2 linked regions of the Rhinolophus ferrumequinum genome follow. The protein of the gene in region 1 purifies or fractionates together with the protein of each later gene. This does not show direct contact. Links are inferred from orthologs where the notes say so. Each region holds a gene or a part of one and is shown on either strand. Other genes may lie near its edges.

Region 1 (7,792 bases):
CTCCACTTCTATGAGGTCCCTAGAATAATCAGATTCACAGAGACAGCAAGCGACGGTGGTGCCTGGGATGGGGGGGGGACGGGAACAGAGTGTCAGTTTGGGTGATGGCAAGAGTTCTGAAGATGATGGTGGTAACGGCCACACAACAGTGTGAATGTGCCAAGTGCCACTGGACGTTGCGCTTAAAATGGTGAAAATGATAACTTTTATGTTATGCATATCTTACCACAATAACAACGTCACCAAAAAAGTCAATTTTACTATATAATAATTGTAAAACTTAAAGTGATGCAGAAAATGGAAAAGAAAAACTTGAATGTGCACGCCGCACCTCTCCTGGACTTGTTAGAACACCGTCTGGCTCAGCAGCTCGGGGAGCGGCTAAGAGCCACGGCGCTGGAGAAATCGGCTAGGGCATTTATCGCAGCACTGCTGTGTGTAGAACAATTTGCAAACAAGCTGGATGTCCCTGGCTACAGGAATGGTACATGGTCTGTTCATACAACGGAAACCTACAGAGCAGCTGAAAGGAGGGAACCAGGCTCACGTGCCCTCACATAAACAGACTGGAAAGTGACAAAAAGCAATGGGAGGGAGAATGGTTCCACTGCAATACTTACCTGTCACTAGTTAAAAGCACCCAAGGGAATAGTCTCTGTTGTATGTGGGACCCAGACATGCGGTCGATCGAGAAAGACAGAACCAGGAAGAAGCCGGCCATGCTGCCTCTGGACAGTGGGGCGAGGGTGGGCAACGCGCCTGGATTCCAGCTGTTGTCTTCCTAATTGGAAGCAAAAACGGAAAACATGCTGACATTGTGAGGTCTGGGAGCGCATTTGTTAGGTTGTTCCCTGTGTTTATTTGTAAGTTTTTAAATATTGTAATAAACCAGGAACAAATCATCTGAAATGCGTTATGAAAAGCATATTGAAGGATGTAGCTGATGGTACTGTTCTTAATAACCAGAATATGGGAATAATGTAGCATCTAATAGAGCGTTGGCTCAAATACCACCATGCATCCATAAAATACAGACATTTATCATCGAGCGGTGGGAATCACAAAAGCATTTCCTTGAGGGAAAAAAAAGTCAGACACAAAAGAATGCACACTGCATGTTCCCATTTCTATGAAGTTCAAGAATAGGCAACGTTAACTGATGGTGATAGGTCAGAAGGTGAGGGGACAGTTGGCTGGAAAGGCTCCCGAGGGAACTCTCTGGGGTGACAGAAATGCGCTAAGTCCTCTTACGGGTGGTGATGGCATGGATGCATACACTTGTATCTATTCGTTCACCTGGGATATGCTTTGTATTAACTATGGCTTGAGTTTTTAAAAAAGTCAGGCAGTGGGACATGGAATACCATGGATAAATGTTAACTATATGTCACTGGTGGAAACAGAAAATTGCAAAGCAACAAGAAAAAGCCAACCCGCTCTTCTGTTCCATGGCAAGGATGCTTTAAAAAACGCCCGCTCTGGGCGTCCTCCCCGCGGTTGCGGGCGGGCGGCAGAGGGCGCACACGGACCGCCACCGCCGGGACCTCTGGGCTCCGACCTGCCAAACTGCCCGACAGGGAGCGCAGGTCTGGCCGGGGGGCTGCCGGCCCCGCGAGCGGGGAGATCCAGCTGTTCCGGAGCCGACCCCGGACGCGGCCTCCGCGCCTCCCTGACCCCGCGCGGGGTCCCGCTCCACCAGAGGACCCCGCGTAGCCACGATCTCCTCCAGGAAACCAGGGCGCGCGGACAGCTGGGCTTGGACCTTGCCCCGCCTGGCACGGCGGCCACTGCGGAAGGCCAGGCCCCTACGGGGAACTGTAACCCCCGCGAGGTGTTCCTTCCTCGCGCGGCCCACCTCTCGGACTACCGCAGCCCACTTCCCAGGCCGCCCCTGCCGCTCCACACCTGTGCAGAGAAGAGATGCTGGTCCTCCCGCAGAGCTGACCCGGTCTTGGGGCGTGAAGCTCGGGGCCCACCTGAGCGGACCAGGAAACCAGGCGGCCGAGCTCTGCTGGGGGCCGAGGGAGCGGCCTGAAGCCAGGAGGGGAACTGAAGAACCAACTGCGAACTGAGGGCCAGAGCTGGTGTCCTCTCCAGAGGGGGTGCCTCCCTAACCGGCTGCCCCATTGTTGCAGAACCACAGGTTTTAAGGGCTCGTGTGCAGGTGAAATGACCATTAGAGTCATGAAATACTCATGGCCTAAACATAGTCAGTCCCCTGGCCAGGCACAACCTGAGAAACTGCATGCCACACGCACACCCCCAAAGCTTCCAGAAGGGGGCACCGGGACACCACCGCCAGCCCTCGCTTTATTGCTGCCTCCTCGGCCTACCTGGGAGCTGCCCAGGGCACAGCTGCCGTTCTTAGGGACCAAGGGCACCCCCAGGCCACATGCAAGCGCTGAGCACATCTGGGCTGGGCAGAAAAAGAGCTGGAGGCACCCCTTCTGCAGGAGCCCAGTTGGACACCCCAGCCTTGCTCTTCCAAATGGGCTCATCCTGGTCTGGCAAGGGGAGCAAGCTGGGTTGGACATCCCCTCCTCAAGGAGACAGCTCTTCTATCTAACCATGAAGAGAACCTCGCTGTTCTGGGTCCTTCCTCACCAGCTCCCTCCGGGGTTCAGCCTGAATCCTCCTGCCCACTCCCAGGGCCCAGCCTCCCCCACTTTTCAGACATGGAGTGAGCCAATGCAGTAAGGCCCCACCACACCCCACACCACTGAGGACCTGGCCAGCATTCTCGCTGGGCATCACCGAGCTCAGGGTCCTTCTCAGCCACCACCTCTCTTCTCAGCAGGCCCTCCCTCCTTGGGGCCCACCCTGGGGCCAGGAAGGAGGAAAGTCCTGAACACAGCCCCAACCCCAGATAGCTCCCCTTCCCAGGGCTTCCTCTGGGACAGCGCCCACCCCCACCCCAAGATGTTTGTACACCATAAGTAGTCTCTGAGCCAGGCAACCCACACACACACCCCATACCACACAACAACCTGATGCTCCTCCGGCCAGCTGGTGAGGCAGACCCATGCACTTACTTAACACCTACTGTGTGCAGAGCCCTGAGGCTGAAACCCACAGTCTGGTGGGAGAACTGAGCATGGGACAGGGGCCAGCCCCTCCGGAGCCCTGCCCAACACTCACCTGCTGCCCTCCCCCATTTCCACTCAGACCGCTGGGGTCTGAGTGGCCTCCCCGCATAGGAAGGGGGCTGCACTCCCCGGGGAACAAAGCCCCTGTCAGATCTGTGATGGCTGAGCTTCTAGGCTGGAGGGAGCCCTGGGGAGGGGTTTAGAAATGTCTGAGCTCTCTAGTCAAACCTCCCCCAAAAGTATTACCTTCAAAGTCTCTGTGAGCTTGTCAACTCCCTGGGGAGGGGTCTTTGTCCCCTTTCTCAGAGTTAAGTCCCGGTGTGTGGCACACGGCCTGGCCCAGAGAAGGGCTCAGTAAATATTTGACAAATCAATAGATGGGTGGCTGCATGTCCTCTTCACCTCGCTGGCTCCGGCACCCTGGCCTCCTCCTGGTGCAGGGACAAGGTCCTCTCCTGCCTGGGGTGGTCCCTCCTGCACCACCATCCTCGTCAGCCTCCAGTCACTGCTTGCATGTCACCTTCTGGGGTGGCCTCCCAGACGCCCACCCACTCAAGTGTCGCTGGCCCCTGTTTGTTTCCGGCCCAACACTTGCCCAAGGTGTAATTAGCTATGTTTGTTCCCGCTCTGGACTCCCTGCGTCCACGCGGAGGGCTGATTGTGTTCCCACAGGGACCGGCTGGGGGCGACCCTCAACAGTCTTTATTGGGGTGGGGGAAGCACACACGGTCGGGGTGGGCCCCGGGAGGGCTGTTTAGGGGCGAGCTGTTTAGCAGTGGCTTTTCACTGGAAACGTCAAGGTCTGGAGGTCATCGGTGAGGCTGGGGGTGACAGCGCTGCACTGCCCCCCCTCCCCCCCCCCCCGACGACAGTTCATGAGATGTGTGACTGAGCCTCTGAGCTTCCAATTCCTCCCAAATGAAGTGGAGACCCAAGTTCCCACCTCCTGGAGTCGTGGAGAGGGTGAGCGCAGAGGCAGGAGGGCGCTCCGCAGGGCCGGCCTCGCGATGCGTGCTCGCGGCCAGGCCCCGGGCTAGCGAAGGCTCTCCTGGTTGCAGGCCCCGCACGAACAAAGGCTGCGGGGGGAGCGGCGGAGGGGCGGCGCCAGCTCTGGCTCGGCCGGCGGGGAGAGGACCCTCGCGCGGGACCGGGTCAGCCGGACCCGCCGCGAGTCTGTGTGCGGTAAGGCTGGGGGTCCCCAAGCCAGGCAGAGCACTGGGGCTGGGAAGGCTTCCTGGAGGTGGGGTTGCAGGCACCGCGCGGCCCCTTTAAGAGCCGGTGCCGGGGTGCGGGGTGAGGGCAGAGGGCGGAGGGCGGCGGCGGCGAGCCCGGCCCCCCGCCCCCCGCGGCCGCCGCCTCTCATCTGCACCCAAAGCTGAGCTCCGGTTGACGTCACCTGCCCCCGAGCCGCGCGCGCTGATTGGCTGCAGGTGACGTCAGGGGCTTTTTTCTCTGGGCATGACCTCATCCCCGCCGGCGGCCCCGCCCTCCGCCCGGGGCCTGTCACTCGCGGCGGAGCGCCGCGGCGGAGCCGGCTCCGCGCCCCCCGCCCGGACGCCGGAGCCCAAGCCCAGCCCCAGCCGGAGCCGCACCGGCCGCGCCCGCCGAGCTGCGGGGTGGGATGCGCGCGGCGAGTGCGCGTGCCCGCCCGCAGTGCGCGCGCCCCGGCCCGAGCAAGCGCTCCCCGCGGCGGCCGCGGCGGCGACGGCGGCGACGGCGACGCGGCCCGCACGCTCCCCAGTCCTCTGCCCCGGCTGCGCGGGCCCCCGCTGGGCCCATGGGCGACGCAGCCGAGTGGGCGCGCTGAGCGCGGCGCGGGTCCCTGGTGCGCCCCGGAGGCGAGAGTGAGCGAGGTGAGCGGGATCGCCGGTGGGGAGGGGTTAACCCGCGCGGAGCGTTCGGGGGCTGCGCCCCGCGGGCGCCCAGGAGGAGGGGGCCTGGAGGTGAGCGGCCCGGGCTTGCAGGGACGCCACGGACAGGACGGGGAAGCCCTTCCCCAGCCTTCCGCAGCGCCCAGCGGACCCCAGCCCGGCCGGCACCCCGCCACCGCTTCGCCGCCTTTCTCCTTGCGATTGCTTCTCACCTTAGTGGGGGGAGGGGCATGAATTAAGGACTCAGGAGGGCCATTTGAGATCCATCTGTCCGGACCTCTGCTGGAGCAGGAGACTCCCCCCACACCGGACAGCCCCCCGTTGGGGCCCAGAATTGGAGAAGGTCGTCCGTGCCGCGGGCGGGTGGGAGATGCGGAGGCCTTGCCATCAGCGTGGAGGGCCTTTGGCCTGTGGGAGGATCAGGGAAGAGCTCGCTCGGTGTTCGGTGGGGAGGGGCTGCAGCTCCATCTCCCCTGTCTGCCCAGGCCACCACGGGCACCCCCACCTCGGGGCGCTCAGCTGGCCTCTGCGGAATAAAGACCGTCGCCAGCCTGCTGCAGAGGCAGCCGGAGCGCTGGGGGAGGGGCTGGCACTGCCAGTCTGAGTGCAGCCAGCCTCCCTCGGCCTATCTACCCACCTGAGGGTGGGTACGTAATAGTCTAGCCGGGAGGGGAAGGGGCACCAACGGGCCGCCGAGCCCCTGCTAGCTCATCCCTTCCGGGAGAATTTGCCTCTGGCTTCTGCTGGGGGGAGTTGGGGGCCTGGGAGCTGCAGTGATGGGGGACGTGGGGGGCTGGGGGGTAGAGGAGAGAGATGGCAGGATCTGCAATGTTCTTGTGCCGCTTGGGGTGGGGTGCTGCAGGCCCAGGGGAGCAGTGTTCTTCCTGCTCTAGGTCCCCGCCCCCTCCCCCCCCAGTGGAAGCCTGAGGATCCCCGCTCCCCGTGGTCTCCCAGGGCAGCCCCGGAATGCATACAGCATCCAGTGCCTCTGCCCTGCTGGGGAGGACAGGTGTCCTATGCATTCAGTCCTCAGATGGTTAATGAGCCCCAGACAAGGATGGCAGTTCACCCTGAAGTCTGGCTGGAATATCTCTTGCTGCCTCAGCCCTTGGGAAGACTCCCGGGCCCAAGGCTGCCTCCCGGAACAGTGTGTCCCATGATCAGAGATGCAGAAAGATGCTCGAAGCCCCCCTCCCAGCATCACCTCTCCTCTCAGGCTGAGGCTCACCTCAGGGCCAGAAGTTTCAACCGGACAGAGGGCTCCAGGGGCCATGGGCTGTAGTGGGGGTCGGGGGAGCCAGAGAGCGTCCTGGTTACATGTCCGAGATGTGCAGCTCGCAAGGAAAGGAAAGGAGGGGGCGAAACCCACAGCAAGACAGATGTGGATCAGACTCTGACCGGGCCTGCATGGGCTGAGGCCGCTTCTGCCTGGACAGCTCCGGGCAGCGACCAGCATATGCCCTGGGCTGGCCCAAGGTGTGACGTGGTGGACAGTGACCAGCAGAGGGCTGGGCTGGGCTGGCTGGATGTGTAGCATGGGGCCAAGCCCTGCAGATGAGGGAGACTAGGAGACCCACATATTATAGGGTCCTGAGCATGCCCTTTCAAGGGCCCACATGCCAAGCCCTCCCCCGCCCCCAGGCTCAGTTCAGACCCCTGGGAACCAAGGGGGCAGGACCCCTCCATCCCATCATCTTCCAAGTCCATAGCCTCTGTTTGGACTTACCATGGGCCCCGCCGAGGGAGTGGAGGCCCGCTTGGGTCCTGTCCCACTCACCCCAGGTCGCCGAGAGGGGGAACAAGGGTACGAGCAATCAGTGGTCCCTGCTGCGGATGGATGAGGAGGGTAAGCGAGCTGACCTGGCGGAGCACGCTACCTGCCAGAGGTCACCCCCTAGCAGTCTCTCCGGATCTCTTAATGTGGCGGTTTCTGCCTCCAGAGGCGCCCTTGGGTCACGATGGGCTGGCCATCTCGGCATCTCAGGTCCCTTGACTGCCAGCTGTTCCCAGAGTCTGCCTGTGTGTGCCAGGCACCACTCCTCCGAGTAAGGGCCACAGCCCCCGTCCTCCCGTGTGCAGCTGACAGTCCTGACAGCCAGCTCTGGAGGTAGTGAGCTCCCCGTCACTAGATGCCAAGCAGAAGGTCCTTGGTGAGCATGCTCAGTTGTGAGGTTCCTGGTCATGCGCGTGCAGGAACATGACTGTACCTCGTGGAGGCCCTGGGAGCTGATGGTGTGAGGTTGTGCAGCTGGCAACTGGGATTCGGGTGCCCTGGGATTTGGGGGGATTTGGCGTGCAGAGGGTGAGGACACATGTCTAATGACCACATGTGTGTGCGTGCACATTTGCAGGTAACTGCATACAGCAGTGGGGGGATGAAGTGGTCCGTGGGGGTCAGTGTGCAGAGCGTTGTGTCCCAGCAGGCACAGCAGGCGTACAGCACAGGAGCAGGGGGGGCAGGGGTCCTGCCTGTGGACTGGGCGTGCAGCACACCTGGTCTCCCGGGGCAGCGCCCCGCCACCTGCACCCAGGCTCTGGAATAGGAGGTGATAGGTGCTCTGCCCGTCAGTTCCCAGGAATGGTGTCTGGGCTGAGTCTGGGGTGGGTCCATGAAAGTGGGGAGTGCCAAGACCCTCCAATATCTATTTCCACTGTGCCCACCTGGCCTGTTCTAGCCCCACTGATCTGCTCAAGGCTGTCCTTAGCTTCTCCACCCTGCCCCCCAGCTCTGCCCAGCTCTGGGTCCTGATCCGTAGCATTTTGGGGAAGGGGAGAGGTAAGGGGTCTGCCCCCCAGGAGCTGCAGGTCCAAGGAGGCCCCGTGAGTGAGGATGCA
Region 2 (7,085 bases), on another chromosome or scaffold:
TGAGAGGATTGGGGGAGGACTTTGGCAGAGGTTGGGAATTTACAGGGGTTTCCCTGCCAAAGAGTTATTTGTAGAGTTCCAGCCAGTCTAGCATGAGTTCGTTTTATATCTGAAGGGTGAAGGATGAAGCCCTAGAGGTGGAGATGGAGAGGGAGGTGGAGGTGCAGATGGAGATGGATAATCCCTAAAGCTGCCAAGGGAGAGAGACCAGGAATGGGGTGCTGTCTTCTCTCCACCACGGGGCCTGGACAGACCTTCTGCAGTATAGGAATTGCAAATGGCAAAATTCCACTGGGCTGGGAGAAATTCTAGGCTCGAAATTGTAAATGGTGCAGAGAGTCTATGCTAAAAGGTCTGACAGAAAGCCTTCTTCCTAATCTATATTTATTTAAAACAACAACAAGAGTTTTTTTTATCAGTTATAGAACTTCAGCAACTTATTCTTTCCTTCCCACTCAATTCCTTTAGTCTTTTTCTCCAGTGGATAAATATTGAATATCTTTAATATCTGAGTGTGGATGGAGAAAAGACATACTTAAGCTGTGAGAAGTGAATGCAGAACATTAGAATAAAAGAGCCAACAATGAAAATAAGGCCTAAGAGAGAACCTGAACACAAAAGATAGTGAGGGGCAGGTTGTCCTGTCCTGTTTGCTCTGAGATTTTAAAGAACAGAAAATATGCTGAATTTCTTAAGGCACTGGCTCTCAATCTTGGCTGCACATCAAAATCACCTGAGGGGTTTTGGAAAAGCTACAGAATCCTGGGTTCCACCGCAGACCACTGAAGAAGGATCTCCAGAAGTGGAGTCCAGCTGTGGGAGTTGAATTCCCAAGTTAATTTGAACGAGCAGGTCAACTTGAGAGGCACATCCTAGAGCAGTGGCTCTCAAACTTGAGTGCTCATTAGAAATACAGGCATACCTCCTTTTATTGCACTTCACTTTATTGCGATTCACAGGTATTGTGTTTTTTATAAACTGCGGTTAAGACCCTCCGCCAGCAAAAATATTACAAATCACTGTATTGCAGTGATTTGGAACTGAACCCACAGTTCCAGGGCTCCTTAAAATGCAGAGTGCTCTCCCTCACCACCCCAAGTCTTCTAATTCAGATGTCTGAAATGACTCTGAGAATCTGCATTTCCAGCAAGCTCCCAGGTGATGCTGACATTGCTGGTCTGGGACCACAGTTTGAGACCATCTTAGAGGAATAAATGCTGACCATTTTTTTCCCATGAAAACATGCATGTGTACTCAATCTATAGGCTTCACTAGTTGGTTTGTCTCTCTCTTGTGTTTACCTGGAAGCCATGTGTGCATATGGGGGTGAAGGAGAAGGAGGAAGCCCAAACGAAGAAGGGGGTACTACTTATAAGTTCAAATCAGAGAGCCACCCACTTCTACCTTCACATTTTTTTGTTCAAGGTGTGACTGAGGAACTCTGGTCATTTTTGATTCTGTTGTACTCCCGATGAAATAAGCCATCGTTCTTGCAGTTGAAAAGATAATTTACAACATGAGCACTCATCTTTCCTCTACTCATGCAACCAGAGACAGAGCTGCTCTCTCTGAAGTCAGCAGGCTCTGCCTTGAACAAGCCCTAAAGAGCACCTCAGAGTCAGAGGGTGATTAACTGAAGAGCTGAACCTATTCCTCCTATGGATGCAGAAGTAGACTGTAAGGTCATGGTTGGGAAAACAGATGGGTTGACTTGAAAGCAAGGCTGAAGGAGGAGGGTGGTGAAAGTGGGGTCAGAAAGTTAGAGGTGTCCTTGGAGATGCCCTTCAGCAGGCCTTAGTAAGCCCCCCTCCCCGACTCCCCTTCTTTGGAATGAGGTCAAGAAACTAGGAAGTGAAATAAAGTTTCAAATTTTGGTTTCTGCACCCTTGAACAGCTGGGTGTGAGATGCACCTGAGACCTTAGCTAAAGTCTCAACTCCACTGCAATTCAGTGTGTGTGTGGTCTGCAGAGAATGACAAGGGAAGTGCTCTGGACAGGGTGCGACCTCTTCTTGACCATCTCTCAGGGCTCCAGCAGAGAATGGGTTTAAGGGGCCTACAGTGTTCCCTTCCCGCCTTCCCCCATCCCAGCCTCAGAAAGACCCAAGGACCAGCTTTCCCCAAGACAACTCCCCTGGGATAAGAGGCAAATAAACCTGAATTCCTTAGCTCTTCCTCTTTTTCTGAGTCTGCACCCAAAAGGCTCACAGGGAACCATAATAGGTTAACAAGGAACTATGACATGAGAAGGAAGAAGGAGGCCCAGAGCCACATCTGGGTTACAAAAAGCATTTTGCCTTTGCAGAATATCAGAGATGATTACATTCAATCACAAGCAATGAATGTTTTCTGGAATCATACACATGCACACATACATACATAAACACGCAGGATGTCCGTTCTAGATGTAGGTAATTGGGAGATGACAGTAGCAGGCTGAAGCTAACTCAGAAACTCTCCCTGTTGAATGAGAGGCTGTGAGTAGCATTACAGAACTGGGCATAAAACTCAGGAACTCTGTTCTGCAACACCACTCACTTCACAACGACCCTATGATATTGTCTTTTGTCACCTCCAGGTCTTTAACATTGTCAGGTGGGAAGTAGGAAGTACTTGCTGATGCTTCCACCTGGGTGTCCAATTATACCCTCCCACCTCCCCCACACACACTCCTCCAGGAAACTTACACTCATGCTTCTTGTATGCTACCTCTCCCTCTCAACAGAGTCTTTCTATCAGATGTAAAGTATCCTGGCATCTTTTTTCACTGCCTAATTCATCCATTTCCACTGCCTCCGTTTTCTCATGTCCCATTCATTTCTTAGCCCATTCTAATCCACTTCCAGATCTCAGTACACCAGGATTTCAGGCCTCCTTTTTTTTTTTTTTTTCCAGGCCTCCTTTTATATTTGATGTTATTGATCACTCTTTTCTTCTTGACTCTCTTTTTCCTTCTACCTCCCTGGAAGCTCCTTCACAGGTTCATCCTTTTCATTGGCCATTCAATGTTCCATTTATGTTCCACTTCAGAATCACTGGAAACAGGCCAGCCCAACATGACATGGGAGAAGATACTCTCTGAATTCACTAATTTATTCAACAAATATTTACGTTCATTATTTATTCATCATTAAAATAACACACTTTTTTCTGATTATTAACATAAACTGTTCCATTTGGAAACCATGAAAAAAATATCCAAAGTTTAAAAGAGAACCAATTCACCTTTTATTCCACAGTTCAATGATGAACTACTGTTAAAATAATTTGGCAGATTTCCTTCTAGGTTTTTTCTATGTATACATAGTATATAAGTAGGATAATTTTATGAATATAGACTTGTTTCTTTCTCTTAATCTATTATGAACAGTTTCTTTTTAGCAATTCCTTGAACACATCACATTTACATGGCTAAAATGCATTCTATTGCATGGGTGTGTGTCATTTGAACAGATTTCCACCCATTGTTGGATATTTAAAAGCTTGTCTGTTATTTCGATAACTAACGTACACTCGCTTTGTGGGGCCCAGAGACAAATAGGGTAGTGCACGGAATCTGGTAGAAGGTGGACTTTAGGAAAATAGGGGGCAGCTTTTTCAGATGGCTGAGGAGAACATTTATTTGCTTGTGGGGTGCTGGGCCCGGGGCAGTTGTCCTTACAATGTAATATATTGTCTGTCAAGGCAATGAGCTCTTCATCTCTTACATGTGTGCCTGCTCCACCAGCCGGTTTGGTCTAAGCACATCTGACCTCCAAATCCTGGGGAGAAGAGCCCCAAAGGATTGGGCTCAGACTAGCGTACCGCCCCAGGCCCGTTGCTGAGCGGCCTGGCCACGCGCCGCCACGTGCCAGGATCAGGGCTCCGCCCCCTACGGTTCCCCGCCACGCCCCTCACTCGACGCTCTCAGAGGCTCTCCGGCAGCTCCTCCTTCAGGCGACCTCCGCTAATCCTCCCGGCCCCCTAGGGTAGCCCCGCCCCCAGACTGCGGGCCCCGCCCCCGCAATCCGGGCCCCGGGGCTGCCCCGCCCCGCGGCTGCTCGCATGGCGCAGGGGCGGTGCCCTGCGCGATGACGTGAGCGGGCGTGCGCGGTGACGGCCCGCGTCCCTGTTACTCAGCGGAGCGGCCGAGGCCGGACGACGCGGCCGGGATCGCAGAGCCGCGAGCAACGCTGGGTAACGGCCGCTGCGACCGCCCGGACGGCACCGGTCCCCGCCGGCGGGCTTTCCTGTCGCCGTTCGGTGCGCTGCCGGGTGAGTGCGGCGGGCGCCGGGGGACCAGGTCGGCCGGCGGCCCCGCCGTGTTTATGTTATTGTGCCGACGCCTTCCTCTCAGCCGTGACCCCCTCCGGGGAGTGGGAGCGGGAGCGCGCGGGGGACGCGCGGCGAGCGGGGGCCGCGCGGGAACAATAGCGGCCGGGGAGGCGGGGCGGGCCAGGGGGCGTGGGGCTGCGGGACCCTGGCGCGCCCTGGCGGTTCGCCCCCGGCTCCGCCGCCCCAGCTCCGCCCGTCTGTCCTCGCGCAGGTCTCGTGTCCACGTCTGGAGGGGAAAAGGAGCGGGGGTGGGTGGCAAGTTCTGAAACACTTCGGCGAAGGTCGGGACCGAGGCGCGTTGGCGGCCCGCCGCGCCCTGGCTGCCTCCGCCGGCGGTGGGCAGTCGCGGAGAGCGTTCAGGTCACCGGGTCCCAACGCCTGCCTGTCCTCCACGGAGACCGTGTTTTGTTTCTCGGTGGTTTCTTTGTGCTAACGTTCAGGGCGAACACAGGCAGCGCCGCCGAGGAAAGGCTGGGGTGGCCTTCAGCTCTGGGCTGCGAGGGGCAGCCCCGGCCCGTGGTTTGAGCGGGAGGTGTCCATCCAGCTCCGCGCGAGCTACGGTGGTCAGCGCGCATTTCTCATGAGGGTCACTCGATGGTGACCTTTTGACTTTTTCATCCCACCCTCTCATCTCTTTGTCTTTCACTTAATGTTTCCAATTATTAGATGGCGGATCCAAGTCCGTTTTAAAGTATTGCAATGAACACTTTTCATTTTAATTTCTGGAAGTTCCCCATCAGATGTTTACTGTGAACTTAATAACATGTTGACTGCATGGTATCAGACAATGTCCAGTGGTTACTATTTTTACCTCTGAAATTCAATGATCTTTCCAGTAGAATTCTGTTCTGTCAGTCCATTGTGTTTTAACAAGTACCTCCTTGTCAATTAGAACATCTGTTTATTTCATTCATTCATTCTATCATTTATTCATTCATTCAGCAACTGTTCAGTCGTGTACCCTGATGAAGAGTTTGAAGGTAAAGAGAGATATCCTTTAAAGATAGAAAATGCTTTGACTGAAATATAGTAGATGTACCTTTAAATAAAGCGATTATATAAGTGATGTGTGTTAAAGAAAGTACTGATACTCTGGGTAATTTTAATACTTTTTAGCAGTAGATGTGGAACTTCTAGTAGCATGTTATATTAGGAAGTAGAGCTAGGTTTGATCTAAATGTACAACAGTTTTTATTCATTTTCAAATTTAATTTTTTAATCTTACAGCTGTATAGCCTTACAGTCATTTTTAATGTTTACCTCAGATTTCCTCGCTGTGGGTTAAGCCTAGGAGGTCAGATGCTGTAAGTGAACGTATTTAGTGCTGTGCCTGACAAAAGCAAGCAGTCAAAATGGGACTTAAGGACAGACCTATGTTGTATCTGTGTCTCCAGCACCCAGCCTGGAATATAGTAAGTGTTCAGTAAAAGTCAGATTGATGAAAAGCTCTTTACAACTGATAATATTTAAAATCAAGCCTTAAAAAATTTTAATTTTCTCTGTAAAGTTTTGGGAGCCTCATGCAAACTATCACTTCCAAATCGCTAAATGATTAGTTCATATATAGGTCAAGACGGTAGTGGCTTTTGAATAACTTCAGTATCAGTTTTGTTTTTATCACTGCTAAACCATTCACTATCCTAAAATAAAACCTTGTCTAAAATGTGTGTATGTATGTGTGTATCTGTGTATATGTAGGGTTTCCAGGTGGGAATTCCCTCCCGTTCTCAGGAATTTTTTTTTGCTTCCCTGGTCCAGAATCCCAAGATATAAACTGGTTTCTGTTCTCCACCATGAATCGGTGACACCGATACTGCCAACCGCCTAGGTTCAAGGAGCCGATTTTCCTGATTTCCCGACCAACTTTTCTCAGAATTCGGGAATGAGAAAGCAAAAAAAATTCCTGAGAACGGGTGGGAATTCCCACCTGGAAACCCTGTGTATATATCGCTCGCGCGTGTGTGTACACACACAAGCGCGCGCACGCGCACGCGCGCGCGCGCACACACACACACACACACACAGTGATATTTCAATAGAGGTCTAAAATGGTTGCATTTATCCTTCTGAGAATATCATTTGAAAAGTTTCTGATGACTCCTTTAAGTGGAAAAGGTAGAACAAAGGAAATAGGTTGCATCAAAATTTTATTAGAAATGTTTAATTTCTAATAACATTTTAGAAATGTTTGTTGGAAATGTTTTATTTTAAATCTTCCTTTATTTTAAATACTATTGGTGGAGCATATGGGCCTAAAACTCAAAATAATATCAGTTTGTCCAAGTTATATCTCTTTTACATTCACTATGTAATAAATTTTAGAATTTGTTTTGGATTTGAAAGAATTAGGAGTGAACTTATTATCTGATGTATGGAACAAATCAAGAAATAAGAAAATTATATTTTATAGAATAAGCGATGAAAATCTTAAGATACGAAACTTTTATTGCTTTTCCTAATTAAGGTATGTCCGATTCCAGTAAGTGTTATTGATACAAATCCTTTGGCAGTAGCTCACTGTCGGGCTCTTTGTCAAACCAGAGCTTTTTTGTTTTGTTTTCTAAATTTTGATTTTAAGACTACCAGCATTATTGAGATATAATTTACATACCATAAAATTTACCCTTTTAGAGTGTGCATCATGGTTTTTAACATATTCATAAAGTTATGCATTGATAACCACTAATTCCGGAACGTTTTCGTCACTCCAAGAAGAAATCCCCGTACTCACTAGCCCTAGTCTCCCATTCCATTCTAAATTATGTTAAAAGG

What was found. Proteins that work in one complex are often made in the same cells at the same time.
Region 2: the proteins of DUSP8 (region 1) and MAPK8 purify together in Homo sapiens (affinity purification with mass spectrometry; 3 studies listed by BioGRID and IntAct, counting the BioPlex papers as one, with this or other methods). This does not show direct contact. The link is inferred for Rhinolophus ferrumequinum from reciprocal best matches to the Homo sapiens genes DUSP8 and MAPK8.

What each region holds. Positions count from the first base shown.
Region 1 is NC_046294.1:1,013,247-1,021,038, reverse strand, and holds the start of DUSP8 (dual specificity protein phosphatase 8), read left to right. Parts: upstream 1-4,788; 5' UTR 4,789-4,939; intron 4,940-7,792. UniProt on the Homo sapiens protein: Has phosphatase activity with synthetic phosphatase substrates and negatively regulates mitogen-activated protein kinase activity, presumably by catalysing their dephosphorylation.
Region 2 is NC_046299.1:62,953,965-62,961,049, forward strand, and holds the start of MAPK8 (mitogen-activated protein kinase 8), read left to right. Parts: upstream 1-4,085; 5' UTR 4,086-4,253; intron 4,254-5,709; exon of another isoform or gene 5,710-5,725; intron 5,726-7,085. UniProt on the Homo sapiens protein: Serine/threonine-protein kinase involved in various processes such as cell proliferation, differentiation, migration, transformation and programmed cell death.